Oryctolagus cuniculus: one gene and its partners. The protein of the gene in region 1 purifies or fractionates together with the protein of each later gene. This does not show direct contact. Links are inferred from orthologs where the notes say so. Each region holds a gene or a part of one and is shown in the gene's direction. Other genes may lie near its edges. The genes, in order: RELA, TWIST1, PRMT5, RNF182, STAT3, DAXX and RPS3.

Evidence for each region.
Region 2: the proteins of RELA (region 1) and TWIST1 purify together in Homo sapiens (affinity purification with western blotting; 3 studies listed by BioGRID and IntAct, with this or other methods). This does not show direct contact. The link is inferred for Oryctolagus cuniculus from reciprocal best matches to the Homo sapiens genes RELA and TWIST1.
Region 3: the proteins of RELA (region 1) and PRMT5 purify together in Homo sapiens (affinity purification with western blotting; 3 studies listed by BioGRID). This does not show direct contact. The link is inferred for Oryctolagus cuniculus from reciprocal best matches to the Homo sapiens genes RELA and PRMT5.
Region 4: the proteins of RELA (region 1) and RNF182 purify together in Homo sapiens (affinity purification with western blotting; 3 studies listed by BioGRID). This does not show direct contact. The link is inferred for Oryctolagus cuniculus from reciprocal best matches to the Homo sapiens genes RELA and RNF182.
Region 5: the proteins of RELA (region 1) and STAT3 purify together in Homo sapiens (affinity purification with western blotting; 5 studies listed by BioGRID and IntAct, with this or other methods). This does not show direct contact. The link is inferred for Oryctolagus cuniculus from reciprocal best matches to the Homo sapiens genes RELA and STAT3.
Region 6: the proteins of RELA (region 1) and DAXX purify together in Homo sapiens (affinity purification with western blotting; 4 studies listed by BioGRID and IntAct, with this or other methods). This does not show direct contact. The link is inferred for Oryctolagus cuniculus from reciprocal best matches to the Homo sapiens genes RELA and DAXX.
Region 7: the proteins of RELA (region 1) and RPS3 purify together in Homo sapiens (co-immunoprecipitation; 5 studies listed by BioGRID and IntAct, with this or other methods). This does not show direct contact. The link is inferred for Oryctolagus cuniculus from reciprocal best matches to the Homo sapiens genes RELA and RPS3.

Annotation. Positions count from the first base shown.
Region 1 is NC_091432.1:6,038,161-6,042,435, forward strand, and holds the start of RELA (transcription factor p65), read left to right. Parts: upstream 1-1,475; 5' UTR 1,476-1,607; coding exon 1,608-1,614; intron 1,615-2,162; coding exon 2,163-2,189; intron 2,190-2,280; coding exon 2,281-2,432; intron 2,433-2,521; coding exon 2,522-2,670; intron 2,671-3,167; coding exon 3,168-3,259; intron 3,260-3,621; coding exon 3,622-3,753; intron 3,754-4,275. UniProt on the Homo sapiens protein: NF-kappa-B is a pleiotropic transcription factor present in almost all cell types and is the endpoint of a series of signal transduction events that are initiated by a vast array of stimuli related to many biological processes such as inflammation, immunity, differentiation, cell growth, tumorigenesis and apoptosis.
Region 2 is NC_091447.1:11,241,645-11,245,825, reverse strand, and holds TWIST1 (twist-related protein 1), read left to right. Parts: upstream 1-1,488; 5' UTR 1,489-1,831; coding exon 1,832-2,458; 3' UTR 2,459-2,501; intron 2,502-2,978; 3' UTR 2,979-3,681; downstream 3,682-4,181. UniProt on the Homo sapiens protein: Acts as a transcriptional regulator. Inhibits myogenesis by sequestrating E proteins, inhibiting trans-activation by MEF2, and inhibiting DNA-binding by MYOD1 through physical interaction. This interaction probably involves the basic domains of both proteins.
Region 3 is NC_091443.1:52,081,908-52,086,149, forward strand, and holds the start of PRMT5 (protein arginine N-methyltransferase 5), read left to right. Parts: upstream 1-1,442; 5' UTR 1,443-1,651; coding exon 1,652-1,761; intron 1,762-1,787; coding exon of another isoform or gene 1,788-1,846; intron 1,847-2,396; coding exon 2,397-2,515; intron 2,516-2,828; coding exon 2,829-2,914; intron 2,915-3,082; coding exon 3,083-3,217; intron 3,218-3,853; coding exon 3,854-3,966; intron 3,967-4,107; coding exon 4,108-4,157; intron 4,158-4,242. UniProt on the Homo sapiens protein: Arginine methyltransferase that can both catalyze the formation of omega-N monomethylarginine (MMA) and symmetrical dimethylarginine (sDMA), with a preference for the formation of MMA.
Region 4 is NC_091436.1:156,663,347-156,667,564, reverse strand, and holds the start of RNF182 (E3 ubiquitin-protein ligase RNF182), read left to right. Parts: upstream 1-1,418; 5' UTR 1,419-2,337; coding exon 2,338-3,081; 3' UTR 3,082-4,218. UniProt on the Homo sapiens protein: E3 ubiquitin-protein ligase that mediates the ubiquitination of ATP6V0C and targets it to degradation via the ubiquitin-proteasome pathway.
Region 5 is NC_091448.1:20,437,440-20,441,563, forward strand, and holds the start of STAT3 (signal transducer and activator of transcription 3), read left to right. Parts: upstream 1-1,324; 5' UTR 1,325-1,369; intron 1,370-1,990; exon of another isoform or gene 1,991-2,125; intron 2,126-3,052; exon of another isoform or gene 3,053-3,223; intron 3,224-3,372; exon of another isoform or gene 3,373-3,430; intron 3,431-3,721; exon of another isoform or gene 3,722-3,838; intron 3,839-4,124. UniProt on the Homo sapiens protein: Signal transducer and transcription activator that mediates cellular responses to interleukins, KITLG/SCF, LEP and other growth factors. Once activated, recruits coactivators, such as NCOA1 or MED1, to the promoter region of the target gene.
Region 6 is NC_091436.1:135,803,001-135,807,157, forward strand, and holds the start of DAXX (death domain-associated protein 6), read left to right. Parts: upstream 1-1,357; 5' UTR 1,358-1,496; exon of another isoform or gene 1,497-1,614; intron 1,615-1,721; exon of another isoform or gene 1,722-1,855; intron 1,856-1,987; exon of another isoform or gene 1,988-2,124; intron 2,125-2,705; 5' UTR 2,706-2,757; coding exon 2,758-2,964; intron 2,965-3,118; coding exon 3,119-3,950; intron 3,951-4,050; coding exon 4,051-4,157. UniProt on the Homo sapiens protein: Transcription corepressor known to repress transcriptional potential of several sumoylated transcription factors. Down-regulates basal and activated transcription.
Region 7 is NC_091432.1:66,517,396-66,521,638, forward strand, and holds the start of RPS3 (small ribosomal subunit protein uS3), read left to right. Parts: upstream 1-1,443; 5' UTR 1,444-1,542; coding exon 1,543-1,572; intron 1,573-2,256; exon of another isoform or gene 2,257-2,403; intron 2,404-2,532; coding exon 2,533-2,663; intron 2,664-2,939; coding exon 2,940-3,033; intron 3,034-3,679; coding exon 3,680-3,774; intron 3,775-4,243. UniProt on the Homo sapiens protein: Component of the small ribosomal subunit. The ribosome is a large ribonucleoprotein complex responsible for the synthesis of proteins in the cell. Has endonuclease activity and plays a role in repair of damaged DNA.

The DNA of each region.
Region 1 (4,275 bases):
CAGCCGGGACTCAAACCAGCGCCCATATAGGATGCCGGCCTTAATACCTTTTTAAACGTGATATGTTGTGGGCCAGCACTGTAGCATAGCGGGTAAGGCCGCCGGTTCGAGTCCCGGCTGCTCCACTTCCGGTCCAGCTCTCTGCTGTGGCCTGGGAGGGCAGTGGAGGATGGTCCAGGTCCTTGGGCCCCTGCACCCGCATGGGAGACCTATCTCTCTCTGCTTTTCAAACAAATAAATCTTAAAAAACAAACAAACAAAAAACAATGTTGCTTGCATCGTGCACACCCCATTGCGGAGTCGCGGCTGGGCTCCCCCTTCCCGCTTCCTGCTAAGGCAGACCCTGGCGGGCAGCCGGGGCAGCAGCCAAGACTCGGGGTCCCTGCCGCTCGGGCGGCGCCCGTCTGAGACCCCCGCCCGAGACCCCCGCCCCTGGCCTCAGCTGGCGCAGCTCCCCGGCTGCTGGCCGGCGTCTGGGCCGTGATGCAGGGGCGGGAGGCCGCTCTGCCTTTCAAGGAAATAAAACGCTGATTATTCGGAGTGGACGGCGCACGCGCAGCCCCCGCGGCCGGGAAGCGGACTGCGCCGGAGACACCGGCGGGTGGGCGGGGTGCTCGCTCTCTTTCACTTTTCTCTTCCTGTTTTTTCAGAGCCTGGGAAAGCAAGTCAGAATTTCCAATCTTTTCCAATTCCCACATGGTTTCCTAATTTAGTGCGAGTTCGGAGAAGATACACACACACACAAAGTCTCCCCCGCACCCCGCTTTGGGGAAGCCGCGCGCAGCCTCACCCCAGGAGAGGGTCTGTGCCAGCCCCAGGCCCGCCCCCCGCCCGCAGGGCCGCGGCGGGAGGCCCCGGGCACTCTCGCGGGGGGCGGGACCCTGCGGGTTCGGGCGGCCCCTGGGGGTCCCGGGCGTGGGCAGGCGAGCGCGCCAGGGTGCAGAGAGGAGGCTGCGGGGCCGATCCGGGCGCCTCCCGCACTCGTCTCCGATGGGCCGCCCGCGGGCCGGGGCTGGCGCGGCCGAGGGCCCGGCTCGCCCGCTGCGGGCAGTGGCCGGCGGGGACGTCGGGCGCGCCCCGCACCCCGCGCGCCCCCCGCGCCGAGACGCGTGCGGGGTGAAGCCGCCGGCTCTCCGCGCGCGGGGCGGGCGGCCGCCGCCCAGCCGCTCTGGCCGCGCTCCAGCCCGGCCCGGGTGACATCACCAAGCTCCTCCGACCCGCGGGAGGGGGCCCCCGAAATCCCCTAAAAACAAAGTGAGTAATCGGCAGGCCCGCCCTCCAGGCGGGGCTGGGACGCGGGGGCGAGCGGAGCCGCCCCGGGAGCCGCCTCCGGGCGGGCGGGCGGGTGAGCGTCGGTGTCCGGAGCGGCCGGCGTCTGCCCCCGGCCCCCGCGGGCTCGCCCCGGCGCGGCGCGCACCTGCCCGGACCCCCGCGCGGGGCGGCGGCGGCGGCGGCGGCACAGGCACAGCGCGCAGGCGCGGCCGGGTTCCGGGCAGTGACGCGGCGACGGGCGCGCGCGGCGCATTTCCGCCTCTGGCGAATGGCTCCCCTGTAGCGCGCGCCGCGGGCCCAGCTGCGACCCCGGCCCCGCCCCCGGGACCCCGGCCATGGACGGTGAGGGCGCCCCGGGAGCCGGCGGGGAGGCCGCGCCGGGGCCGCGGGGGCTGTGGCGGGACCCCCGGGCCGCCTTCCGCCGCTTCCTGCGCCGCGGGCGCTGCTGCGCCAGGGAGCGGTCCGGCCGGCCGGTGGCGCGGGGCGGGGCGGGCGGCGGGGGTCTGACTCAGTTTCCCCTCCGCGTGGAGGGGGCCTTGACCGGGGGCCCTCCCGGGGTGGGGGTGCGGGGTGAGCTTTGAGGCGAGTCCGTCGCATGGCCTCTGGGGCAGCCCTGATGGAGTTGTTATGGGAGAGGGTGTGAGTCAGTTTCCTCTCGGGTGGGGGCTGGGGGGTGGGGGGCGCCCTCCCACAGCTCCTCCGAGGACAGTGGGCCGGGCCCTGACTCGGGTTCCCTCAGCACAGCCGGGGGTCCAGACCCCGTTTGCCCTTAGGAAACAGGTGTTTCTGGCTCCTGTACCCCCCACGGAGCAGGTCCTGACTCAGTTTCCCTGGGGCGGGGGGTGGAGGGGACCTGGGCTTGTGCTGACCCTTACCTCCTCCCCTTTCAGACCTGTTCCCCCTCATCTTCCCCTCGGGTAAGTGGGCCGGCCCTGCTCGGTGGCGGGGAGGGGCTCCGGGGGCTGGGGGGCTGGGGGCAGCCCCTGATGGGACCCCCGGCCCCCGCAGAGCCAGCCCAGGCCTCGGGCCCCTTCGTGGAGATCATCGAGCAGCCCAAGCAGCGGGGCATGCGCTTCCGCTACAAGTGCGAGGGCCGCTCGGCGGGCAGCATCCCCGGCGAGCGGAGCACGGACACCACCAAGACCCACCCCACCATCAAGGTCAGTCCTGCTCCCCCTGTGGCGGGCCGGGCGCGGGGGAGGGGCCGCCGAGCCGGCCCTGCCCCCAGCACGCGCTGTACTTTGCACAGATCAATGGCTACACGGGACCCGGGACGGTGCGCATCTCCCTGGTCACCAAGGACCCCCCTCACCGGCCTCACCCGCACGAGCTGGTCGGCAAAGACTGCCGGGACGGCTTCTACGAGGCCGAGCTCTGCCCGGACCGCTGCATCCACAGGTGAGCGCCCGGGGCCGCGCTGGGCGGACTGCTCTCTCCTGCGCTCCTCCTTTCTGGGAGTGGGACTCCTGGGGGACGGGCTGGGGCCCTGACCCTGTGGCTGCCAGCGAACCTGCGGTTCCCCCGAGCGCGCACCCGCGGACAGGCTGTAGGTCGTGCAGATAAACGGTGCACGTGGTGTCAGCCGTGACTTCCAGGCTGGGAGAGAGCCCGGCCGAGGGAGGGGTGCTGGTCTCGTGGCCTGGGGGCGGGAGGCCCGGGGTGGCCTCTGTCAGCTAGGCCTTGAATGGTGAGGCTGATCGGAGAAGCCCGGAAGCATCCCGGGGCGAAGGGAGAGGTGCCGAGGTCAGGGCCTGAGGGCGGGAGGCCGTCGACAGGAGCGGTGGTGTTGCAGCGCAGGGGAGCCGCTGCAGCCGCTGCAGCCAGGACCGGGGCGGATGGGGAGGTGCAGACGGGGCACCGCGGGAGGGTCCGCGCTCTGACGGGGAGGGGCTCAGCTTCCAGAACCTGGGGATCCAGTGTGTGAAGAAGCGCGACCTGGAGCAGGCCATCAGTCAGCGCATCCAGACGAACAACAACCCCTTCCAAGGTGAGGCCCCCCAGCTGCCCGCCCCGCCCCCGCCCCCGCCCCCAGCTGCCCGCCCCGCCCCCAGCCTCCGCCCCCGCCCCCAGCCTCCGCCCCAGCCCCAGGCCTCCGCCCCCGCCCCCAGCCCCCGTCCCCCCCAGCTGCCGCCCCGCCCCCCCAGCCTCCGCCCCCACCCGGCCCCCACCCCAGGCCTCCTGGCCAAGACGCCGCAGCCGGACACCACGTCCCGGCAGGGGACAGGACTGCGGGGTCCCAGTGCAGGCCTTTGTCCGGCGCTGTGGCACCCTTCGCCAGCCCCCAGGCCAGAGCGGCCGGCCCTCCCCGCCCCGTGTGACACCTGCCCGTCCGCCCGTCCGTTGTGACAGTGCCCATAGAAGAGCAGCGTGGGGACTACGACCTGAACGCCGTGAGGCTCTGCTTCCAGGTGACAGTGCGGGACCCAGCAGGCAGGCCCCTACGCCTGCAGCCTGTCCTCTCCCATCCCATCTTTGACAACCGTGAGTGGCTCGGGGGTCACGGGCAGGGGCCGGGGTGGGCCTGGGCGGCAGGAAGGCTGGTGGGCTGGGCTGCGGCGAGCTTCTGCCCGTCGTCCGGCATCCGTGTGTCATCTCCCGTGCCCAGCCCTGCTGGCTGCAGACAGGCAGGGACAGACCCAGAGCCGTCCTTGCTCTAGAGGGTGTGGCTTCGGGGCTGGCGGGGGTCTGATAGGAAGTGGGCGTTTTCCGGATCACGTGGCGAGAGAGTGGCATGCCCCCACCTACACCACGGACTGTGGGAAGTGGACATTACGAGAGCGAGGTGTCCTGGGCGGTGACGATTCCCTGATGACAGCCCGGGAAGCTTGCAGAGGGACTGGGCGGCATCATCAGTTGCAGTTTTTAATTAAATAATGAGCAGGATGAATAAAAATAGAGCAGCGCGGGAACCCTGGGGGCAGGAAGCAGGGTCAGGAGGGACGGGCGCGTGGCCAAGGTGGGTACGATGGGGCCCGGGAGACTGCCCGGGTCAGCGTGGCTCGC
Region 2 (4,181 bases), on another chromosome or scaffold:
CGGGCCGGGGAAGGAGGCTGCTGGCCGAGTGCCGGGTTCTCGCTGGCGAGACGAGCCAGTCAGGGGAGCCCCCTGCGCGGACCTCGCCTCCCGGTACGCAAGCCCGCGCCCCCAAACCCTGCTGGCCCACGCAGACTCCCGCCGCGCCTGTGACCTCTGGTTGGCTTGGCGGCTAACGTTAAAGAGATGTCCACGAAGCGGTTGTTTCGCCCCCAACTCGTTCCAAAAAGAAAGAAACCAACGCAGCAGGGCCAGGATGGGCTTCTCCTCCCCCGCCGCTTCCACTCCCGCCCACGGGTTTGCTGGCTTCCAGGGTGCCAGCCGCTGCCTTCACACCCTCCTTCGGGGGACCCTTCGTTCTGAAGTCTTGGGTGGAAATGCTTCAAATGCAAACGTGTCCGAGTAACTGCAGGGGCGCTGGGACCATCCCCACCCGCTGGACCGCCAAGGAAGGGGGCTGGGGGGCAAGGCCCTCGCAGCGCACGGGCCCCCGTGCCCAGGCTCCGGAGACTCCCCACCTCTTAGAGGCTGACCTCTCGGGGTCACCGTGCGGGAATCCAAGTCCGGGGCAAGGTGGTAATCAAGGGGCCACAGGATCCTCCCCCCTTGGGCGGGCGGCGCTGCGCTGGCTCCCTCCGGCCCTGCTTCCATTCGCCTCGGGCAGGGCGCGCACTTGGGCCCCTTTCAGCACCCTCGCAGGCGCAGTCCGTTAGGCACAGGGCAGTTTGAGGTTGGGACAGTGTGGAGAACGGAAGAGTGCCCCGACGCTGCTCGGGGCCGGGTGCTGGCGCAGGCCCGGGGCGCAGCGCACAGCCTCCAAGGCGCGGCGCGGCCACGTCTCCACAAACGCCCACGACCTCTGAGCCGCGGCCCTGGAGACAGCACCGGGGTCGGCCACCTGGCCGCTGAAGGGGTGGGAGGTGGGGTTCTCCGCGGTTGACAGTTTGCGGGCCGCTCCCCGCCCCCACCCACCGCTACTGAGATTCCCCCCAACAGGCCCCGTGGACCTAGCAGGCGGGCACTGGGGCGAGACGAGGCATCTATCCACTGCGTCGAAGCCGCTGCCTCTGCTGTCACCGCCGCCGTCCGGGCGGAGCTGCCACGGCGGACGGGACGGTCCCCTTGGCCGCTTCCCGGCGCCGCGCTCGGGTGCGGGGCGCGCCACCCGCGCGCTGCGGCGCGGAAGGAAACCGCCCCGCGTCCGCCCGCGAGGCTAGCGGGAGGGAGGCGAGGAGGCGGGCGCAGCGGCCGGCAGCCGGGGCCGGGTCGTTTTTGAATGGTTTGGGAGGACGAATTGTTAGACCCCGAGGAGGAAGAGGAGGAGGAGGTGGTGGAGAGGAGGAGGAGAGGAGGAGGAGGAGGCGGGCGGGGGGCCGGGCCGGGGGTGGGGGCTGGAGAGCGGAAACTTTGCTATGAAACCTGGAAAAGTCCCTCCTCCCCACGTCAGGCCAATGACACTGCTGCCCCCAAACTTTCCGCCCGCACGGAGGTATAAGAGCCTCCAAGCCCGCAGCCTGCGCCCATCTCCCAGACACCTCGCGGGCTCGCCAGCACCGGCCCGCTTTCCAGGAGGCCCGGCCGGGTGTGCGTGCGGCCGCTGGGCGCCGTCTTTTTGGACCTCGGGGCCATCCACACCGTCCCCTCCCCCGCCCGCCTCCTGCCCGCCTCCCCCCCGCGCGCGCCCTTCCCGCGGAGGTCCTCCCGCTCAGCTCCTCGCCGGGCCGCACCGCCCCGGCCGGCGCCGCGCGCTGGGGGAAGCTGGCGGGCTGAAGAGCCCGGCTCTGCTCCTCTGCCCCCGGGGCCCGCGAGGCCGCGCGCCGCCGCCCGAGAGATGATGCAGGACGTGTCCAGCTCGCCAGTCTCGCCGGCCGACGACAGCCTGAGCAACAGCGAGGAGGAGCCGGACCGGCAGCAGCCGCCGAGCGGCAAGCGCGGGGGGCGCAAGCGGCGCAGCAGCCGGCGCAGCGCGGGCGGCGGCGCGGGGCCCGGCGGGGCCGCGGGCGGGGGCGTCGCAGCCGGCGATGAGCCCGGCAGCCCGGCGCAGGGCAAGCGCGGCAAGAAGTCTGCGGGCTGCGGCGGTGGCGGCGGCGGCGGTGGTGGCGGCGCGGGCGGCGGCGGTGGCGGCAGCAGCAGCGGCGGCGGGAGCCCGCAGTCGTACGAGGAGCTGCAGACGCAGCGGGTCATGGCCAATGTGCGGGAGCGCCAGCGCACGCAGTCGCTGAACGAGGCGTTCGCCGCGCTGCGGAAGATCATCCCCACGCTGCCCTCGGACAAGCTGAGCAAGATCCAGACGCTCAAGCTGGCCGCCAGGTACATCGACTTCCTGTACCAGGTCCTGCAGAGCGACGAGCTGGACTCCAAGATGGCAAGCTGCAGCTACGTGGCCCACGAGCGGCTCAGCTACGCCTTCTCGGTCTGGAGGATGGAGGGGGCCTGGTCCATGTCCGCGTCCCACTAGCAGGCGGAGCTCCCCACCCCCTCGGCAGGGCCCGGAGCCCTAGGTAAGGAGCGGCGCCTGTGCGCCCCTTCGCCGCTGCGCGCGCGGCCGACCGCGGCCCCCGGTGCGCCTCGCCGGCCGCCCGGCTAACGCTCCCCTCGCCACCTCCACCCCCCGCCCCGCCCCGCTTCCCGCGCCCGGGCCGGGGAGTGGGTGGGTGGGGGTTGTGCGCGAGCGCGCGCGCGGGGAGACCGCGAAAGCCCGGAGCGTCGCGGGTGAAACTCAGTTCCGCCCGCGCCCCTCTTTCCTCCTTTCGGCTGGAAGATTTCGTTCTCCTCCTTAAAACAAATGTTTCCAGATTCCACCTCCTCCCTCTTTCCGCCCACCCACTTCCTCTCGCCCTGGGGCTGAAATCCTTCCCGGCCGCGCGGCGCGGCGCTCGGCGGCGGTGCGGGCGGCCGTGCGAGCCGGTCGCCAGCCCGCAGCCGCGGGGACCCCCGCCGGTTAATCGACTTTCCTCCCCTGCTCTGGGCTTTTTCAGATGTCCTTGTGTCCAGAGGAGGAGAGAATGGACAGTCTAGAGACTCTGGAGCTGGATAACTAAATAATAAATATCTATGCCAAAGATTGTCTTGGAGATTAGAAGAGCAGAACCCAAATTCAAAGACACAGGGCGTGGGGCGCACTTTTAAGAGAGAAAGCGAGACAGGCCCGTGGACAGTGATGGCCAGATGCGCAGCGGCACCATCCTCTACATTCTGATAGAAGTCTGAACAGTTGTTTGTGTTCCTTTGTGTTTCTGTTTTGTTTTTGTTTTTTGGGGCTTTTTTTTTTTGACGAAGAATGTTTTTATTTTTATTTTTTTCATGCATGCATTCTCAAGAGGTCGTGCCAATCAGCCACTGAAAGGAAAGGCATCATCACGGACTTTTCTCTATTTTAAAATGGTAACGATCAGAGGAATTTTAAGAACACCTTTAGAAATAAAAAAAAAAAAAAATACTGGGATCAAACTGGCCTGCAGAAACCATAGTCAGTTAATTCCGTTTTTCGTTCTTCCTCTGAGGGAAAAAAAAAAAAACTTAAAATACAAAAAACAACATTCTATTTATTTATTGATGACCCATGGTAAAAATGCAAATAGATCCGGTGTCTAAATGCATTCCTATTTTTATGATTGTTTTGTAAATATCTTTGTATATTATTTTTCTGCAATAAATAAATATGATTGAAAATTTTAAGAACCTTAGAGTTTGCTCTATATTTTTAAAGCTCAGGAGTAAGTTGGTGGTGAATACCTGCTTGTTTAACTATGGAGGCACCCAGGAGGCACCAAGCACTAAGATAAACAAAGCAGTGAAAAACTCAAATAAACCAGCTACTGACAGGCACAGGCGTGGTATTTAAAAAGACAGCTTTATTATTACTCCAGTTTGCTGTTCGGCGGGCTCAGTAGCATCTCTTCATCCCTTGTCAAGTCCCAAATATCAAAACTTCCACCAACTGGCTCTTCCTATCTTGTATTCGGGGTGGTAACCGGCTAACATAGACAAGCAAGCATGGAGCCAGCAGGATTTTCTCCTGTTCCTGTGTATTTTGGTCCTGGCCTCCACTCATTGTGAGGATTGGTAAATAATAGGATAAAATGATGGGCTGATGATCCTACCACATTAATGGATACAAGTGCACGCACCAGAGCAGAGTTTAATTCAGGAAAGAGTTTATGTCCCTCCTGTTTGACGAA
Region 3 (4,242 bases), on another chromosome or scaffold:
AGGATAGTATGTGCCCTTGATGAAATGAGGAAATGATATTCGGCCTCCATGACCTCCCCAAACCCATAACATCAGATTCCAGTAGAGGAGCATTGTATAGTCTATCTGGCCAATACCATCAAACTATCAAGATCATCAGAGACAAGAAACAGCTGAGAAACTGCTACAGCCAAGAGGAATCTAGAGAGATGTGACAATTAAATGTAATATGGGATCCAGAAGTACACAAAAAGTCTGGTAATAATAACAATAATAATAGAAGACACAGCATCTCCAACCCCTTCAGGCTTCATGGTGCATTTTCTTGGCGCTTTGCTTTTCTGACTCTCATCCGTTGGGGGCACTTAAGTCGCACCCAGGACTCGTGGGGCTCATCCCCTCCTGCTCCCTTTCCGGGTTTCCCAGGCCTCTGATCCGCACCGGCTACGGTCAGCTCATCACTCTCAGGGCTTCGTTAGCTACCGTTCTTCCGGCGGGCTCCAGATCCTATTCGGTTCAGACCACGGTTCACCCAGCTCTGTTACACAGCGCCCCCTAGACATCCACTTCAGCACGTCCAGACCCAAACCCCGATTCTCTACGAACCGCAAGGACTGACAGAACCCTGGGCTATCACCCGCCTAACAAGCGGACCCCAAATTCTGTTAACGCCCCCTGCGTAGGGTTCTCGTGCTGCGATCACCTCTCCAGCCCTCAGTGCTGAACCTGTGGGCTCCCTGCCTTCAGGGGTCTCCATTTCCCTCTCTCCGTCTTTCCTTGCTTCATTCCTTTCTTTTTTCCCGTCTCTCTCCTGTAAAGGGAAAATGCATTTCCATGATTCCCGTCCACTGCAATCTCTCACTAAGAATTGGTTTTCTCTACCTCGAGGGGCTGTGAGTGTGCGCTTAGGTGTTGATTTACACCTTTTTGTGTTTGAGACACAAGCACTATTAAACACTGTCAGTTATCACAATCTATTTAAAAAGGTTAACATAGTAAGGGGACAAATCTTGTTTAAACAGAACCCCAGCCATTAACCCAGTTTAGTTGGGTCTAAGCAATGACACAAGGAACACATTTGAAAGAGGTGACGGAAAAGGTTAAGTAAAGATGGCTGTAGGACCCAAGTAACTTGGGACCTGAAAAGTGAGAGGGTGGAAAGAAGTAAAGCTTTCAACAGTGAAGGAAGGAAAACGGAAACCACAATTTCTGGGGAAGGTGATGCAATAAAGGAGTACCAGTCCCAACGAGCCAGCCAGGAGTCGAACCTGGAATCTTCTGATCCGTAGTCAGACGCGTTATCCATTGCGCCACTGGCCCTGAGACAATCGCGCTGGGCTCTGTAATGATTCTTCAAGCTTACAATGCAGGGTTTCATGGGACGTGTAGTCCCTCGGCGGCATTCGGCGGCTGCACAAAGCATTCTGGGAGATTCGGGTTCGTCACGAACCAGACCCTGAGATTGGTAGATCTGCAGGAGCCACGCCGTACGTCACGGTGCAGCCCGCGGATTGGCGGGAAGAGTCACTCTCCACCCCTCCGTCTCTTGCTCCGGAGCTGTGGAGGACGCTCTGGTTGTTAAGGCGACTCGTCCCGCCTTCTCGGGGCCTGGTTCAGCGTGTGATTGGTTGCTAATATCAAGGAATCCCGGCGTGGAGAGCGCGAGGGAAAGATGGCGGCGATGGCGGTCGGGGCTGCCGGTGGGAGCCGCGTGTCCAGCGGGAGGGACCTCAATTGCGTCCCCGAAATAGCTGACACACTGGGGGCTGTGGCCAAGCAGGGGTGAGGGCCAGACCTTCGCGGGCGGAATGCAGGGTCCGAACTCGAGGACGGAAAAGGGCAGGCTAGTCATCCCCGAGAGGCAGGGGTGAAGGGGCCGGATGGGACGAGGGCGTGAGAAACCCCATTACTCCTGAGAGGAGCAGCTTCGGCCCGGCGGGTGGAAAGTTAGGGGAGTCGTGTGGCCTCTTAGTCCAGAAGTCGGGGGAGTTGTCGGGGATACAAAAAGGGGGCATACAGCCAATCCCCTAGGGCTCCGGGGGTAAAATGAGTATGCGGGAGTAGGGGGAAGTGTTGGGGGCAAAGGCGAGAGGAGGTTCATGTGCAGGGAGGGTAGGTGTAGGTAGCCCTGGGGCAGCTCTGAACATCACAGTCCTGGAAAGCCAGTGACCCCAGAGTAGAGAGAATGCTACTTGGCGTGGATTTCCGTCGTTTTCCCTTACTCATCTTTTCCCTGCCTGTGTTTTGGGGGAGAAATTGAGGCACGGTGCAGGGAAGTGGTATGTCCCAGGATGGGCTGCAACCAGGAGCCAGCGCGGTGACTGGTGGCATCTGAAAGGGCTGTGCGCAGTTGAGGTAGCCTAAGTGCAGTGCTTGGCTCTCTTTACATGATGATTCTGGGTCTGTCGCGGTTGTAGGTTTGATTTCCTCTGCATGCCTGTCTTCCACCCGCGGTTCAAGAGGGAGTTCACTCAGGAACCTGCTAAGAATCGGCCGGGCCCCCAGACACGATCAGACCTACTGCTGTCAGGAAGGGGTAGGGACCATCCCATATGCCCCTTAATTGTTAGCAGCAGTAACAACCTCTGCTTTATCAGAGCCCTCGTTCTCCTCCTTTTCTGACTTGGATATATTGGATAGCCCCTGGGATCTAGGGAATTCTCGTTTTCTCCTTGCTTATTTGCTAAAAGCCTTAGTTGCCTATTCTGCATCAGACTATCCCATGTCTGTGGTGGAAAATGCCTTTGTCTCTCATCTCTATTTTCTGTTCCCTACCAAGAACTAGAAATTGAACCAGTACAGTACTGAACCTCATTCAGTTTTTGTCTTTCCCGGGTGGGGGAGTGCAGACTGGAATACGCTAATTGTGGGAAAGCTCTCTCCATGGATCCGTCCAGACTCGAGAGTGGAGAAGATCCGCAGGAACTCGGAGGCGGTAAGACAGTGTTTGACCTCTCCTGGAGCGTTCTAAAGATGACCTCTGTACCCGAGCTGGGTGGGAGAGCGTTTTTCCCTTCCATCAGTTACAAAATCAACTAACAGAATGCAATGAAAGCTATTTGGAGGTTAGCTCTTAACATTTTCCTCCCGTTCTCCATTCCAGGCCATGTTACAGGAGCTGAATTTTGGGGCGTATCTGGGTCTTCCGGCTTTCCTGCTGCCCCTTAATCAGGAAGATAACACAAACCTGGCCAGAGTTTTGACCAACCACATCCACACTGGCCACCACTCCTCCATGGTATGGTCGAGGGTCTCTTTTTCCCACTGCATATCATGGTAGTCAGGCTCTGTGCGGGAGCTTCTTGGGCCTGCCAGTCAGTGAAGCGGGAATTTGGCAGAATGGAAATTATTGCTCACTCCCCTGCTAACAGACAGTTTCACAATATCTCATTATTTCTTGAAACTTTACAATTGAAACACAAGGCAGATTTTTTTTTTAAGGGAGGTAGAGTTACAGAGAGAAATATCTTCCATCTGCTGGTTCACTCTCCAAATGGCCGCAGCTAGGCTGATCCAAAGCCAAGAGCCAGGAGCTTCTTCCAGGTCTCTCAAGCACTCGGGCCCTCTTCTACTGCTTTCCCAGGCCATAGCAGAGAGCTGGGTCGGAAGAGGAATGGCTGGGACTAGAATCTGTGCCCATATGGAATGCCAGCACCTTAGACAGAGGCTTAGCCAGCTACAGCACATTGTTGGCCCCACAAGGCAGATATTTGCTTAAGGATATATACAGGATACATGTACAAAATCACAAATTGGGAAAACCATCTAAAGGGGTTAATTTGAGATCTGGATCAAGGTCTTTTTAATTGTGAGATGGTTATTGGACCCAATGAGTTCAAGAGCGAGTTCTAAAAGGGCACCTGTTGATGTGCAGTTCTGGATGCGTGTGCCCTTGGTGGCACCGGAGGACCTGAGAGATGATATAATTGAGAATGCACCAGCTCCACACTCAGAGGAGTACAGTGGGGAGGAGAAGACGTGGATGTGGTATGTCTCCTTTTGCTACTACTCCAGAGCAAGGGGCAGGGTGAAGGGAAGTACGGGTAGAGCCTGTCGGGAAGTCTCCTTGAGCTGTGGTGATTGGTGGGCCACACATATGTGTGTTTTTCTGTATCCAACTCTGGGCAGGTGGCACAACTTCCGAACTTTGTGTGACTATAGCAAGAGGATTGCAGTAGGTGAGTCTACAAGGGTCCTGGGATAAGTGTCCTTCCTGTGGCGTCTGTGCACAGCACTCAGCAGTTTTGTCCATAGTGAGCAAGC
Region 4 (4,218 bases), on another chromosome or scaffold:
GATAAACTCTGTTTTTAAAAATCTTACCTATTTTTTTTTTTTTTGGCTCATCTCCAGAGATTCCATTGATTGACTTCCTTTTGCCACCAACTATATGTCTTGCCACGGATTTCCATTGTACATTGTATAGAATAGGCAGTTAATTTAAAAATTAAAGTCATAAATAAAAAGGAAGCTACTCTGTATTGACAAGTCAGCTACTCGTGATTTTTAAAACTGCCCAAGTTTAGCTCCTCACTGCCTCATGTCTGCTAATGCAGCATGATCCATAGCAAATTTAAATTCCAGCACAGTTGCTTTCTGTTTCTCAGAGCTGTTGTGACAGCCTTCTGCTTAGGGTGTGCTCAGAAATTCAAATACATTTTGGTATTTTTTTAAAGCAAAGCATAACTTAAGACAAATCTGCTACCAAAAATATCATGTTTATTAAAGCTAAGTGAGTGATTTGGAGCGTCCCCATATTGCTGCTCCCTTCCGTTAGTACTGTTAATTGAGAACTGAGTGTGCATGTGAAGTCCAACCTTCCACCATTTGTCCAAAGCCAGTAAGATAATACTGCTAATAGTAAGAGGACTGTCAATTGTATTGTGCTTTGTGTTTGCTATAGGAAGAGAGCTTACATGAAATACTCATAGAGGAGCCAGCATTGTGGTGTAGTAGGTTAACCTAGCCTCGTGCAGTGCCAGCATCCCATGCTGGAGCACTGCTCGGAATCCTGATTGTTGCTCCACTGCCTGTCCAGCTCCGTGCTAATGCACCTGGGAAAGCAGGGGAGGATGACCCAAGTACTCAGGTTCCTGCTGCCCATGTAGAGCCCTGGATGGAGTCCCAGGCTCCTGACTTCAGCCTGTTCCAGCCCTAACTCTTCCAACCTTTTGGGGGATGAACTAGCAGATAGTCTCTGTCTCTGTCTCTCTCTCACTCTGCCTTCCAAATAAGTAAGTATAAATAAATAAATCTTGAAGCAAAAAGAAATACTCATAGAGTAGGTGAGGAGGTGATGTGTATTTCTTGGTAGCCATGCCTGTCTGAGGATAGAACTGTGCTTCTGTTGTCTGTGTTTATTTTTCTTTTGTAGGAATTAGACTTGACTTCCTAATAATGCTTATTTGGGTGTTATATACTTCTTTCTTCCTTGAGTAAATGACTATGTACAACTATGTTTACAAGACTGGTATTGAAACCAAGAATTTGAAGTTGAAGTCAAAACAGTAAAGTCATTTGTGTAATTGATGTGTTTACACTGAGAAGGTGAGAGCAGCCTGCTTTGCTTAAATAGCCTCTCACCTCTATCCAAGCACCCTCAGAAAACACATTGTTAGCATTTTCCCTTGAGATTTCTTTCTTTTTTTTTTTTTTTAAAAAAGATGTATTTATTTATTTCAAAGTCAGTAAGAGAGAGAGAGAGAGAGACAGTGAGACAGGTCTTCCATCTGCTGTTTCACTTCCCAAAGGGCTGCAATGACCAGGGCTGGGCCAGGCTAAAGCCAGGAACCCAGGAGCTCCTCTGGGTCTCCCACATGGGTGGCAGGGCCCCAAGCACTTGGGCCATCTTCCCCTGCTTTCCCAGACACACTAATTGGCAGGTGAATTGGAAGTGGAGCAGCCCGAACTTAAACCAGCACCCATATGGGATGCTGACATCACAGACTCCACCATGCCAGTCCTGAGATGTCTTTCTTTTTTGTGCCCTTAAGCAGTGTCGAGGGCATTTGGACAACTGGTACACCAGCAGTGCTGTGACTCAGTCTGTTATTTCTGATGCATGTCCCGTTCTCTTCCAGAGAGGCCAGGGTCGATTACAACTTGCAGAGTGAACATCTCCCACATCCAGACAGTGCACTGAAGTCCCCAGCTCTGAAGCAGGTGCCCTGCCGTGCACTTGCACCCATTAGGACTCTCACTTCTTTTGTCACCAGCATGCTTGTGCAGTGAAACGGCCAAGCCCACAGAGCACACCCTCCCGACCAGGGGACGGCAATGTGTGAAAAGATGGAGGGGATTTAGCCTTTGCTGTCTGTCATTGCTTTGAATCCGTGAAGCTCGGGAAATCCCATGAAAGTCTTTTCAGGAACACCTTTTCCGAGACCTGCTCACTCTATTAGAATCTCTTTGTTTTCTTTGCAGACCCTCCATGTGCCCAGTTAAAATCTGCATTTGAGACAGAGAGTTCTACGCAAGAAGCTGAAATGCCCAGTGATTTCTGGCTCCTCTCCCCATTTCCTGAGCCTTCCTGCCTCTCTGCCTGATTCACATGATAGGCTGTTCAGAGGGACCCCTTAACCGAAGGCGTTCCTCAAGCAGAGGCATCTAGGGGGTTTGCATCCGGGATCCGAGATGGCCAGCCAGCCGCCCGAGGACACTGCGGAGTCTCAGGTGTCGGACGAGCTGGAGTGCAAGATCTGTTACAACCGCTACAATCTCAAACAGAGGAAACCCAAAGTGCTGGGCTGCTGTCACAGGGTCTGTGCCAAATGCCTCTACAAGATCATCGACTTCGGGGACTCCCCACAAGGGGTCATCGTCTGCCCCTTCTGCAGGTTTGAGACCTGCCTGCCGGATGATGAAGTGAGCAGCCTGCCAGACGACAATAACATCCTTGTGAACTTGACTTGTGGAGGCAGAGGGAAGAAGTGCCTGCCAGAGAACTCCACTGAGCTGCTGCTGACGCCCAAGAGGCTGGCCTCTCTGGTCAGCCCCTCGCACACGTCCTCCAACTGCCTGGTCATAACCATCATGGAGGTGCAGAGAGAGAGCTCCCCGTCCCTGAGCTCCACGCCCGTGGTGGAGTTCTACAGGCCCGCGAGTTTCGACTCTGTCACCACTGTGTCGCACAACTGGACTGTGTGGAACTGCACATCACTGCTATTCCAGACATGCATCCGGGTGCTGGTGTGGCTGCTGGGCTTACTGTACTTCAGCTCCCTGCCTCTGGGGATCTACCTACTGGTGTCCAAGAAAGTCACTCTGGGAGTGGTCTTTGTCAGCCTGGTCCCTTCGAGCCTGGTCATTCTCATGGTGTATGGCTTCTGCCAGTGCGTGTGCCATGAATTTCTAGACTGCATGGCACCTCCTTCTTAACTGATATGCAAGATCCAGAAACTTGACACATGCTGCTGAGTTTGAAGCTAGGGAGTTCATGATTTAGTCTCTCTTCCGTTCTTTACGTTTTGTGCCCCAGGACCTTTGACAAAGCCCTGGAGCCCATGTTGGTGGTCTGTGTCCCATCAGAATGTTGGCTTGATTGCCTTTCCTGTATGCTGGGGGTAAAAATGTTCACTTGTATGCAGGGGTTAGCAGAGAGGCAAAACAATGCAGAGCAGCCTAGAGCAAGGGCAGTGTTTCCAGACAGACGTGGGGTGGGGAGCCGTGCTGTGGGAGACGTTAGGGATGGGTCCATGCCTCATTTCACCCGGGGCGGGGGGGGGGGGCGCTTGTCTCCTATGGCAGGTGCACAGGAGAGGAAAGCTGCTCCGTGCTCCTGCTGGGAGAGCCCCCTTGAGGCAGCTTCAAGTGTTTTCTGGGCCCCTGTTGCTGTGTGTGGGCTCTGCGTCTCTCGTGGAGACACCTGTTCCCTCCCGTGCCAACAGGAAACTCAGCCTGTTCCCTGGGGTGGTTTCAGCTGAGTACCTGTTTTTCCACATTGCTAAAGAGAGGGAAGAGCACCAAGGAACTGGCCTCACCGTCCACTGTACTGCACAGATGGCCGCTTGTCTTGGAGACACACGGCTGCTTCCATGTTGGTTTTTCCTCTTCCTCTGACTTCTCACAAGAAGTGAGCAGAACGAAGTTCCCATAGAACAGTTTTTGTTCATGGAACTCTTCTTCGAGCATTTCCTTGAACAGTTTGGTTTAGTTTTTTTCTTTTGGAACCACATTGCTGAGTAAGCCCGCTCCTCACCCCAGATGAGGTTCCATTTACATTAGCAGCTCTGAGTTCGGGAGTATTTTGTCTTTTTTTTTTCCCCCATCACGTTTTAAAGTCAATGAGGACTTGGTTAACTGAATCCCATCACAGTTTGGGGGGGGGGGGGCGCTGGCAGTGAGGGCCCAGAAACAGTGAATGAGCTGCTCAGGTTCACGGTTCCAAGCGCTGGGCACCTGTGTGTTGCTGGAAGGGTTAGGGTTGTGTGCAAGACCGTGTGTTGTGGTTGTAGTCTGGACACCAATGGGCCCCTGGCCTGCGTTACCCTTCCAGAGGGGCAGAGTGCAGCTCAG
Region 5 (4,124 bases), on another chromosome or scaffold:
CTCCCCCTCTGTCTCTGTAACTCTGCCTTTTACATAAACAAATAAATAAAAATCCTTAAAAAAAAAAAAAAAGGTAATGACAACCTATGGTGTAGGTACTTTCCTCTTCCTATGTCATAGATGAGGAAACAGATCCAGAGAGGTTCAGGAAGTAGCCTAGGGTCACACCGCCCAGTGGGCAGAGCGGCTGGGAAGTAGACTGAGTCAGGACCTGGCTCTCATCCACCAGGCTGCGCAGTCACCTTGAGGGTATCTTCCAAGCAAGAACATTTGAATACAAAATTACCAAGTCGGAATTATGCTCTCTAGTTAGATCAGGATGCCAAGGCTCAGAGAGGTTAGGGAACTCTCCCAAGGCTGCACAGCTGATCCTGGACCAGAACCTGGATTCAAACTTGGGGTGTCTCACTTCAGTTCCCGGGAGCTTTCACGTGAATGTGACTGCGTCTGTTGCCTGCGGTGATGGCCAAGGGGAGAGAGTGGCTAGGACGCTGCCCAGTATCAGCTTCTACAGCAAAGCTACGGGAAACGAGAGCATGTCCACTCTGGTCAGGAGGAGGCCCCTGGTGGCCTTCACGACCACTGTCCTCTGGTCAGGGGCTGGCAGAAGCCACCTAGGGCGAGCAAGTAGAGATGTGGGGGCAGTGATGAGAAGTGGAGGGGTAACTGAGGAAATACTAGGGTCAAGACAGAAAAGAGGAAGTGTCTTCAGAGACGGAGGGAGGAGAGAATTGATAAAGCTCAGAGGCAGAAGTGGGACACAGAACACTTCCACTTATTCACTACTTACTGAGCAGCTATTATGTGCTCCGCACAAGAGATCACCAAAGAGCCAAGATCCAGTGCAACTAACAGTGTAAGGAGGGAGATAACAAACTCTGTAAACAGATAAATAAAATGAGAGTTGTGATAAGAGTCCAGGAAACTGGACAGAGAGATAGTGATGAACAAGTTGGGACCAACTCTAGGCAGGAGTGGTTAGAGGAAGACTGAGTAAGATGGGAGTGGTGAGGCGGAAGTAGCTGTGCCAAAGCCAGGTGGAGAGAGGGAGCTGGCACATGCCAAGACCAAGGGCTGGGACGTGGCCTGGCTGGAATTCAGTAGGCAGCAGGGAGGGCCTTGCAGGGATGAGATAAAGGAAAACCCCTTCCCCTAAGCTCCCTGGGAAGCCCCGGAGGAACAGAATGGCATGGTGTGAATGCTGCTTAGGCAGTAGGGAATGACACAGCCTTGCCAACAGTGAAGAGGGAGGGCTGTTGATCAGCTGGGGAGAAAGAGAGAGGCTTGCAAGAGGATGCCTGCGGAGCAAGTCCCTGCTCTTCCCGGTGCTGTCAGTGAGAGGAGCCAGGCAGCCCTGTTGCTGAGCCCCGTGAAGGACCCCTTGCCTGTATGTTGTCACCTTTGGTCACCACCATGCCTCACCACCCACCTATCAGCCCAGAGGCCTTCTCTGCCATGCCACGTTTTTGTGTTTTGTTTATTTGAAAGGCAGAGCAACACAAAGACACACACACATAGAGCGATCTTCCGTCTGCTGGTTCACTCCCCAGATGCCAGCAATAGTCGAGGCTGGGTCAGGCCAAGGTCAGGAACCTGGAACTCCATCTGGGTCTCTCATGTGGGTGGCAGAGACCCAAGTGCTTGAGTGACCACCTGCTGCCTCCTCAGGTGCACAGAAGCCATGGAAGCTTCCATGGGAAGCAGAGGCAGGACTTGATCCCAGATGCTACAATACGGGATGTGGGTGTCGCAAGCCACAGCTTAACCTTCAGTGCCCTAAAGCCCACCCCAACCGCGCCTTTTTTTTAATTTTTAATTTGTTTATTTGGAAGGCAGAAATACAGAGAAGGAGGGGGAGAGAGAGAGAGAGAGAGAGATCTTCCATCACCAGTTCATTCCCCAAGTGTCTACAACAGTCAGGTCTGGGCCAGGCTGAAACTGAGAGCCAGGAGCTTCATCCTGGTCTCTCACATGAGTGCAGGGGCCCAAGCACTTGGGCCATCCTCTGCTGCTTTCCCAGGCACATTAGCAGGGAGCGGGATCAGAAGTGGAGCAGCTGGGACTCAAACCTGTGGATGCCGGCACTGCAGGTGGAGGCTTAACCTTCTATGCCACAGCACTGGCCCTGCAGTGTTTAAAAAAAAAAAAAAAAAAAAAAAAAAGGAAAGAAAGGCAGAGTGATGGGGTAGGAACAGAGACCTTCCATCTGCTGGTTACCCCCCAAATGCCTGAAATAGCCAGGACAGGGCCAGCTGAAGCTGGGAGCCAAGTTATTCAACCCAGGTCTCCCAAAGGCTGGCAGGGATCCAGCTGTTTGAGCCATCACCTGCTGCCTCCCAGGGCCTGCATTCGCAGGTTATTAGAATCAGGAGTGCAGCTGAGCGTGGAAGGCGGGCATTCTGATATGGGAGGCACATGTGTTCACTGTGCGGCCAAAGGCCAGCCCCAGGCCTTTTCTTTCTAAGCCTTAGTTTCCACAGTCATAAAATGAGAATTAGAACGCCTATGTCCTTGATCAAATGACAATCTCTGCGTAAAATGCTCAGTACAGTTCCTAGAACATAGTGATTAATAAAGGTTAATTATTTCATTTATAAGGAAGTGGGCTAGTAAATGGATACATTGCAGTTCAAGGTGGGGAAACACCTGCTGACGGCAGCCGAGAGGCAGACTGCCTGGGAGCACCGGGAAAGCCCAGAGGCGGCGATGCTGGAACCGCGCCTTCAAGAATGAGAGAGTTTTCAGCGAGGGAGCGAGGAAATGGAAGAGACATGGTGGGAGGGAAGAAAACCCACAGGGGCTGAAGTGGCGGGTGGTGCTGGCACGCCCTGGGGAAGGTGATCAGGGCAGGGCGGGAGTTCAGGTGGTGTGGGATGAGCCTGGACAAAGGGCTTCAGGTGAGAATACAGGATTTAGGAGTCGAATCGAGAGGACAAGGGGCATCAGCCCAGCTCCTGCCGCATGCCTGGCACTGAGTTAGGAGGTTGGTGCTTTTTTTTGAAGGAACTTGGATTTTTACCCTATGGATCACGGAGAACAGAAGAGATTTTGAGGCAGATGGCGACAGGGCTGAGTATTTATTCATATAACTTTTAGGATGATGCTCCTGGTAGCCAAGGGGAGATCGGGATGGAGTAAGGAGACAGTAGGGAAGCGGCCAGGCTTCGGCTCAAGAGGGAGAAGCTGCAGCGTTCAGCCGGTGGGGATTGGGGTCAGTCGGAGGCTGCAGAGGGTTTTTGTCCCTTTATCAGGCAGGCTCAGAGGTAGATTTCAGGGGAGAACGGTGGCGAGGGCAGTGAGGGGAGTGAACGCTCCTGAGGGGTCAGGGGTCACAGCTTACCAGGATGGAACAAAGCTGTGGCTCTGACCCACCTGGTGCACCTCCGGGTATCGCTGGGATTGGGCCCTCGTTGTCAGCGATGAAGGTGACCTGTTGTGAGAAAGGAGAGGAGAGTGTGTGAGCACCTTCCAAGCAGTAAATCACTGAGCAAATATCAGACCCTCTGCCACCAGGGAGGCCGTGAACTGCAAGGGGCCACACAGCTGGGATGGACTTTAGGGGAGGTGGCCATGGTGAAGATAAAGAGTGATCCATGACCCGTACATGCACTCTGTTTACAAACAGGCAATCCCACACTTCCGGGATCTACAGGACACCCCGAGACAGCTGTCCCAGCACCCCGACACTGACGGTTGCCTTATGGGTTCCCTCACCTCTCACTTGGATTTAAGGGCGCACCAGAAGTCTGAACCTGGAGTCTTGGGGGAACCATGTGAATTGCTGAGTATTTCTGGGGCTGGAATCCGTATTCTCCACCAAACTCTGAGATCCACTCCCCTTCAAAGGTTAAGAGACACTGATTTTTTTTCTCACCAAAAATTAAGAACAGCTATCCTTGGGGAAGACTGAATGAGGCAGGAGGGGGAGATTTTTCATTTAAAAATTTCTGGGAGGGGGGTCTGCCTCTCTTGGAGCCCCCCTCTTGGCTGCTGCATCCGGAGGTTTCTGACTTCAATAAATCTTGTTTTAAAATAAATATTTTGAGGGGCCAGTCCTGAGGCATTGCCGGTAAACCTGCTGCCTTCAGTGCCGGCATCCCGAATGGGAACTGGTTTGAGTCTCA
Region 6 (4,157 bases), on another chromosome or scaffold:
CCTGCGGCGCCGGCATCCCATATGGGCGCCGGGTTCTAGTCCCGGTTGCTCCTCTTCCAGTACAGCTCTCTGCTGTGGCCCGGGAAGGCAGTGGAGGATGGCCCAAGTGCCTGGGCCCTGCACCCGCATGGGAGACCAGGAGGAAGCACCTGGCTCCTGGCTTCGGATCGGCACAGCGCCAGCCGTAGTGGCCATTTGGGGGGTGAACCAACGTAAGGAAGACCTTTCTCTCTGTCTCTAACTCTACCTGTCAAATAAAAAACATTTTTTTAAATAAAAAAGTCTTTCTTGCGATTTTGACTCTTTGTTAAAAATATTTATCGTTACAATTATGAAAAACGAATTTATCAAGCAGCACAAAGATTGTGCAAATTTTTGCATTACGAATTTTTAATAAGCTAGAAGATTGTGTTCATGGTGCATCGCTGAAATAGACCACGTGTCTTTTGACTTCAGCCAGGTAAGAGACCCAGGCAACTTCACGGCTGTGAATTATTATAAGATGGAGAAAGTCCATTGTGAAGGGGAAGGAAGAGGGAGAACCTCTACCGCAGGCGCTCGCTCTGGGAGCCCAATTTTGGGAAAGCTGAGGATCTGAAACTTAAATCCTCTTTGTCAAGACCCAGTGGTCTTGGCGAGTTTTGTTGCTCAATTTGAAGGCTGTAGGCCTGGACGACTGGCGAGAAGTGACAGGGATTCTCAAAGGAAGCGTCAGGGATGCAAGGCCGCGGGCCTGAGGCAGGAGGCCACCACCCGCGCGTGGGCTTCGCGCTGTCCCCGCAAGCGCGCCTCGGGACGCGGCCCGGCCTCCCCCACGCGAGGCGTCTCCTCCGGCTCCTTCCTCACTCTGTCCTCGGCTCTCCCTGAGGAGCAGGAGACCACCGCGTCTCCCCGCACGCGCGGGGGCCATCGCCCAGCTGCTCCCCCCAGCCCCCGGACCCCACGACAGAGCCTCGAGGGGCCGATGCCGCCGCAGCGTCCAGGCCCCACTCGGAGAACAGCGCAGCGCCGCTCGGGTCCCGCCGGCTTGGACGCTGATTAGTTCTGAGGCGGAGCTCGGAAAGCCAGTCAACAACAACGTAGCGATAGTAATACCACCACCACCACCTTCAGGGAGCGCGGTGCTCGTTTGTACGCATGCGTCGACATTTCCCGGCCGGGGACGTAGCACCTGGAAGTGGAAGCGGCGGCCGGGCAGCGGCGAGGGGCGCAAAGCCCATTAAGCGGTGGAAACCGGTACCTGGGAGATAGGAAAGCAGGACCGGAAGCCTCACTAATTGCCCAGCGGAAGGAAAAGGTTTTATTTCCCCGTTTAGACACGCCTGCCCTTTCCTGAAGCCATGCACAGCCTTGGCGACCCCAGTTCTTCAGCCAGCCTATTCCACTGCCCCCCTCCCACCCCTGGGAAAGGTGGCTCAGTGGTCTCGGCACGCGACTAGCTGGCGGTTGGGCTCGAGGCAGGAAGTTTCTGATTGGCGGAGTCCCAGAAGCACCAGGTGAAAATAGCTCCGCCGGCTGAGGGCCCAAGTCACTGCAGAGCTGGGGCCGTACAACAAAATGGCGGCCCCCAGCAACTTCGGGACGCCCTGAAGGGGCAGGCCCCGCCCCCTACAGGTCAGGGGGAAGGGAGTCGCGGGCTAGGTGGGCGGTACTAGGCACGCTCGGTGGGGCCTTCCGGAAGCAGGAAGGCTGGGCTCCGTACGACAATATGGCCGCGCTTATACGCGTGTAGGCGGAAACTCCGCGGCTTCCGGTCTGTAGTGGGGCCTGCGGTGGGAGGGGGAAGGAAGGCGGAGGGAACCATGCGAGGTTCTGAGATCAGCGGCGAGGGTCGTCTCGTGAGACCGTTTCTGAGGTGCGGGCCGGACTGTGTGGGGAGCGAAAACGGGGGAGGGGATATCGAGGAGGCGGTACTGGGGAGACGCGGGCTCTGAGTCTGAGAGGCATGCTCTGGTACCTTATTCCTGAAGGGAAGTGGGGCGGCTAGGGGTCTGACCTGGGGGAGGGGGACTTGGCGGGAAGCTCATCTACCCTGCCGGCGCGACTCAAGGGTGGGATCCGAGAAGAATCGGGAGAGCCCACTGTAGGTCTCACGATCGGTTACAAGTCACAGAGAGCGACCAGGTAAAATCAGGGTGGGGTGAGAGGGAGGGCTCTTGAGGTGTCATACTCCAACCCAGTGCCCTGGTTTGAAGAAGCCCATCAGAGGGTGAAATACGGAGTTAATAGCAGGAGGGGAAAGGAGAATGGATCGTTGAGAGGACTGTTGGATTGTCTAGGAGTTGGGGTGATCATTAAGGGTGGGGTATGGGTTTGACATGTTTCGGGGTGAAAGGGGCCAGACGTGAGGCAGCCAGAGCGAGTGTGTTTTCCGTGTGTGAGGGTGTCATGGGAATCTGGGAAGCGGGACTGGGGTTGGAAGAACCAACTTGACAACTATGAGAAATAGTGGGGAGATGGAACAGAAAGACCGGAAGCCAATGTGAGAGGTAGAGCTGGGTGTGGCGATTGAATGTTTGCGGTTCCCTGTCCTGGGCCACTTGAAGGGCCCGGGAAGGCATCCAGAGCTAATGGTTGCAGAAGACAGGCAGTGAGGACACTGTTGGGCAGGGCTGGGTGTTGCTGAAACCCACGGAGATTGGAAACTGAGCTGAAGGGAGGGGCTATGCTGGAGGGGCTCTTTCTGAGGCCCCATCCCCTTCCAGCAGGAATTCTGAAACCCCCAACACTTCCTCCCTCCGGGGGATTTGATCCCTCATGGCCACCGCTAACAGCATCATTGTGCTGGATGATGATGACGAAGATGAAGCAGTCGCTCAGCCAGGGCCCTCCCACCCACCCCCCACTCCGGCCTCACCCCAGGCAGAAGCCCCTGGCTCCTCTGAGCCCCATGGGGCCGGAGGAAGCAGTAGTTCTGGCGGCAAGAAATGCTACAAGTTGGAGAATGAGAAGCTGTTTGAAGAGGTGAGCTTTAGGGGAGAAGATTCTTATACCCCAGGGAGGGGGATGGCGCACTGGCTCTCTGGTCCTCTCTCCCCCACTAACTGCACCCCCCCTTCTCTCTCTCAACCCCCTCCCTTGTCTCTTGTCCGCTCTCTTCTTCCCCCGAACCCTCCAGTTCCTTGAACTGTGTAAGACGCAGACAGCGGACCACCCTGAGGTGGTCCCGTTCCTCTCCAGTCGGCAGCAGCGTGCCCACTCTGTGTTTTTGGCCTCAGCCGAGTTCTGCAACATCCTCTCTCGGGTCCTGTCCCGGGCCCGGAGCCGGCCCGCCAAGCTCTACGTCTACATCAACGAGCTCTGCACCGTTCTCAAGGCCCACTCAGCCAAGAAGAAGCTGAACTTCGCTCCTGCTGCCACCGCCTCCAGTGAGCCCTCTGGGAGTAATACTTCTGCAGACCCGGCCTCGGAGCCCGGCAATGCTGAGGCCGCTGTCTCCGAGGCCCCAAGGACCCGTGGCTCCCGCCGGCAGATCCAGCGCCTAGAGCAGCTGCTGGCACTGTACGTGGCGGAGATCCGGAGGCTGCAGGAGAAGGAGCTGGATCTGTCAGAACTGGATGACCCAGACTCCACGTACCTGCAGGAGTCGCGCTTGAAGCGGAAGCTGATCCGCCTCTTTGGGCGACTGTGCGAGCTGAAAGACTGCTCTTCGCTGACCGGCCGGGTCATAGAGCAGCGCATCCCCTACCGCGGCACCCGCTACCCAGAGGTCAACAGGCGCATCGAGCGGCTCATCAACAAGCCAGGCCCCGACACCTTCCCCGACTACGGTGATGTGCTGCGGGCCGTAGAGAAGGCAGCTGTCCGGCACAGCCTCGGCCTCCCGCGCCAGCAGCTCCAGCTCATGGCCCAGGACGCCTTCCGAGATGTGGGCGTCAGGCTACAGGAGCGACGCCATCTCGACCTCATCTACAACTTCGGCTGCCACCTCACGGATGACTACAGGCCAGGTAGCGGGTTAGCGGGGTGCCCGTCGGAGGCAGAGGGGACCGCTCGCCCTCTCTGCCAGGGTGTGGGCTGAGTGCTCTGCTGTCATATCTTCCCATGTAGGCATTGACCCTGCACTGTCAGATCCTGCCTTGGCCCGGCGCCTTCGGGAAAACCGGACCTTGGCCTTGAGCCGCCTAGACGAGGTCATCTCCAAATACGCAATGATG
Region 7 (4,243 bases), about 60 Mb from region 1:
TTCTGCTGCTTCTTCCCGGCAATCAGCAGGGAGCTGGATTGGAAGTGCAGCAGCCAGAACACCAACTGGCACCCGTGTGGCGGCTTTACCCGCTATGCCACAATGCCAGCCCCTTCCTACGCGGGGAAGGAGGTGGGGAAGGATGGCCAGGAACATGCGGGACACAGGGAGGAGTGGGAGGGAGCAGCTCTTGCCAGTATCATTTGTATGGTCAAGGGGTGAGGCGGGGCGGGGGGACTCCTGCGAGTGGGGTTCAAGCTCTGACGCAGATCAGAGTGGACACTGGGAGGAGGAGAGGCCCACGGGGATGAGGGCGCAAAGCAGGTCATCTAGAAGGACAGGAGCCTGACTGCAGTGGGCCCCGGGGACTTTCCTCTGACCCTGCACTCACGGGCGGGTGCCCTGCTGCTTGCCCATGTCCCTAGAGAAGTCAGGCGGGGGGACTGACCAGGGCCGCGTTCAGCAGACCATGGAGCCGATGAGGAAGAACCCTGCTCTCCAGCTCCTTGTCTCAGTGAGGGCTGTCACGAGGCGGCCACCGTGGAAGCCAGAAACCAGGCACCACCTCAATTTCCCCCCTCAACCTCAATCCATCATTAAGACATGTCGGGGTCCCAGCTGTGTCTTTGGTTCATCCTCTTTTTCTTTATGAGTGTGTTTGTCTCTCAGAGAGAGAGAGAGAGACAGACAGACAGACACTGAGAGGGCTCCTATCCACCAGTTCATTCTCCAAATGCCTGGGCCTGCCAAAGCCAGGAGCTGGGGACTCAATCCGGCTCTCCCAGGTGGGTGGACGGAACCAGTCATTGGAACCATGGCTGCTGCCTCCCAGAGTCTTCATCAGCAGGAACCTGGAGCCAGGTATCAAATCGAGCCACTCCCATGTGGGATGTGTACGACTTAGGGTCTAGGCTAAAATGCCTGCCCCCATCCACTTCTTTTCCCTTCCCTGGCCCTCTGCTTAGCTCCCACGGAACTCCACTTTATTATAATCTCATGATGAAAGGACCAGTCATTTGCATCAGAGTTATTTTAGTGCCGAAGTTAAATGTAGAATTGTGCGCACGTGAGCCAGAACCCTGAGTCTGCTATAGGTTGTAACAGCTTTTATGCAAGTGGTGCATAAAGAGCACAGAATAGTTCCTAGGACGTTAACACGTAGTAGGTATTATCATTGGGAAGGGAGGAAATGGACAGAGACTGGGGAGAATGGGAGCTCTCGTAGATACTCGTTAGTATCGACCTGAAAGTGTGGGAACCAGGGTTCCACGCTGCCTAAACTCTTGCTGAAACTCTGAGCCTCTCCGTCCTTTTCAAAACTAGAGAAAGGGACTCTAAGTCCCCTTGCAGTTCCTGTTTCTTACTACAGGTAACTCCTTCGCTCTTCTCGCTCCTTTGCGGCCTTTTTGCATTAAAACTACATTTCCCATGAGCGCCCGCAGGCGTCGACGTCGCGCCGCTTTTCGACGTCGCGCCGAGCCGTTTATACCCATTTCCGTCCGCGAGCCACTTCCTTTCCTTTCGGCTGCGCGCGGCGGCAAGATGGCGGTGCAGATTTCTAAGAAGAGGAAGGTGAGCATCTGGAGCTGGGATCTAGGGAACTGCGGTGCTGCGCGGGTCGGGGACTTCTCGGGTCGCCTCCGCGAGACGCCGAGCTCCATTCCCGTCCTTGGGCAGTGGCATAGAGTGCGTGGTGTGGCCGCGGGCCGCGGATGGCGGCGGATTGAATGCGAGGCCCGAGGCGGGCGGCCGCTGGGTGGCCGGCTGGAAAGAGTGCAGCGGTGAGCCTGGGGCGCCCCACCTGTTCCGGGGAGCCTGTCTTGGTCAACAAATCTAGTGACTGTGTAGTAGTTTGAGGGGCGTGAGCCGTTTCTCTCGCTTCTTGACCCATGGCTTTGGGAAGGGCAGAGAGCAGCGTCGTCTTGCCCGCCGTACGGGTGCCTGGGTGCCGCCTTCCGACAGTACAGGTCTCACTTGTCCCGTTGGGGCAGGAAGCTCCCTCGGGTTTAACTTCGAAGTCATGTCGTGTCAAAATCGCTAGCTTTAGGCATCCATAGTTTGCCATTCTGCGTGTGTACATCGTTGTTAAAATTCCGCAGCAGCTAGGGTTGGCAGCTCCGCTGTCTGTAAGCCCACAGGTACACAAGGTAAGGCAGGGTGCCTGGCTGGGTGCAGGTGAGACCGCTCTGACCCACGCCTGCTCCTGTGACAAGGTAGAACAGTGTGCCTGCTGCGCGAAGTGGAGGATCTGAGGCCCTTCGGTGAAGAGGTGATGACGAGTCTGACCGGGGGTGCTGGCTCTCCCCGGGGGTCTTCCGCCGTGCTGCGTTCTGTGGCACCCTGGAAAGGGCCCTGGTGGAAGCAACAGCCCCAAGATGACCAAGAGGCATTTGTCTGAGAAGGGTTGCAGCATCCCTGTTGGCACAGGTACTGAGTTCTGATGAAGGATGTCTTGGCGTCTGATAGACTAGACTGGTCCAGAGGGAAGTGAGCCAGCCCCTCCTTTAATTCTGAACTTGCTTTTTTGGTTAGTTTGTTGCTGACGGCATCTTCAAAGCTGAGCTGAACGAGTTTCTCACCCGGGAGCTGGCTGAAGATGGCTACTCTGGAGTTGAGGTCCGAGTTACACCAACCAGGACAGAAATCATTATTTTAGCCACCAGGTAAAGTATCACTTGACTGGAGGGTAGTGATCTCTAGTTGTATACACTAAGGAAATCACTCTGTATAAATTTTAAGGGTACGGTCAAGTGAATTTGGCGTTAGTGAATGTGATTGTTTAAAGCGGCATTTTAAAAATTGAACAATAATTTCTGTCATGTAGAATTTGTATTTGTGTTGTGGCAGATAAGTGGGGCTTTAGTACCATGCATAATAGGCACAATTCACAGTTCATGTAGGATCTTGGGCGCGTCATCAGTGGTCTCTTTCTTGCCCAGGACACAGAATGTGCTCGGTGAGAAAGGCCGGCGAATCCGGGAACTGACTGCCGTCGTTCAGAAGAGGTTTGGCTTCCCAGAGGGCAGCGTAGAGGTGAGTGGTCTGGCTCATGCCAGAGGTTAAGTGGACGTCAATGGCTCTTTAGAGTGGTGCTTCTGAAATCCCTTATTCACCATGGAGACCTGCTCAGGCTCAGTGAGTGTTATGGTGGGATTGGCATTGGTTGAGGTTCTCAGTGGGCAGTGGGTTTGGTTTTACAGCCCTGTGTGCTCATTTCTGGTGGATGATGATGTTACACACCACCTGAATGTGCAGGTGACACAAAGTGGATGCACTGTGCCATTGGTCTCCCTGGTGTAGCTGTAGGAGGAGCCAGAGGTGGGGCAGTGAGGCTTGGTCTGCTTGTGTCTGTCCTGGGTGTGGGCAGGAGTGCTTTTGGACTTGAGGGATACTATTGTGATAAAATGTAAAAGGTTTATGGAAGAATGGAATTAAGAGATACTTATTTTAATGCCCCTCCAAAATTTGAAATCTGGCTTTTTTCATGATTCTTGTTCCTGAGCTCTTTGAAGACTTGGTCATACGTACATTGCACTGAAATAAACTTAGCTTTGAGTTCCGTTTTCCACAAACCCTTTGAGGTACCCTCCTGTGATGGTGTGGGGAAAGAAATGAGTGTGCTGACTTTGAATTGAAAACAAGGGTGAAGGTAACAGGGTGTGCTTTGCTTCCTTTAAAGCTTTACGCTGAAAAGGTGGCCACGAGGGGCCTATGTGCCATTGCCCAGGCAGAGTCTCTGCGTTACAAACTCCTAGGAGGGCTTGCTGTACGCAGGTAAGTGTCGTGCCGCCTGGTGGTCATGCCCTTCTGTGTGCATCAGAATGTGGTGTGTGCTCTTTGCTGGTTTCACAAATGAACTTGTGTTGAGTGACAGCTTCTGCTAGCCTCTGAGGGTTCCAGCAACACAGTACTGTTAATCCATGCCTTTGCTGGCTGCAGGCTAAGAAGACTGAAGAAGAAAAATGAGAAAAGGTGGACAGGTGTTCTAGGTGCTTGGGAAGAGAGCAGAAACAGGTGCTCAGGGAGGGGACCAATTCTCCTTGGTCTCTGGATGAGATTTAAGTGTCTTCTGGGAGGTGGGCAAGTCAGCCTGTTACTGGTAATTTGTGGGGTGCCCCGAAAGTCAGAACAAGATAGAAGACACTTGATCGGTTGAGATTTTCACTCTTATTGGCACCATAAACGCGAAAGCAGTCCTGATGAGAGAGCTTAAAATCCAGATACTTAATGTGGTGGGCTATGC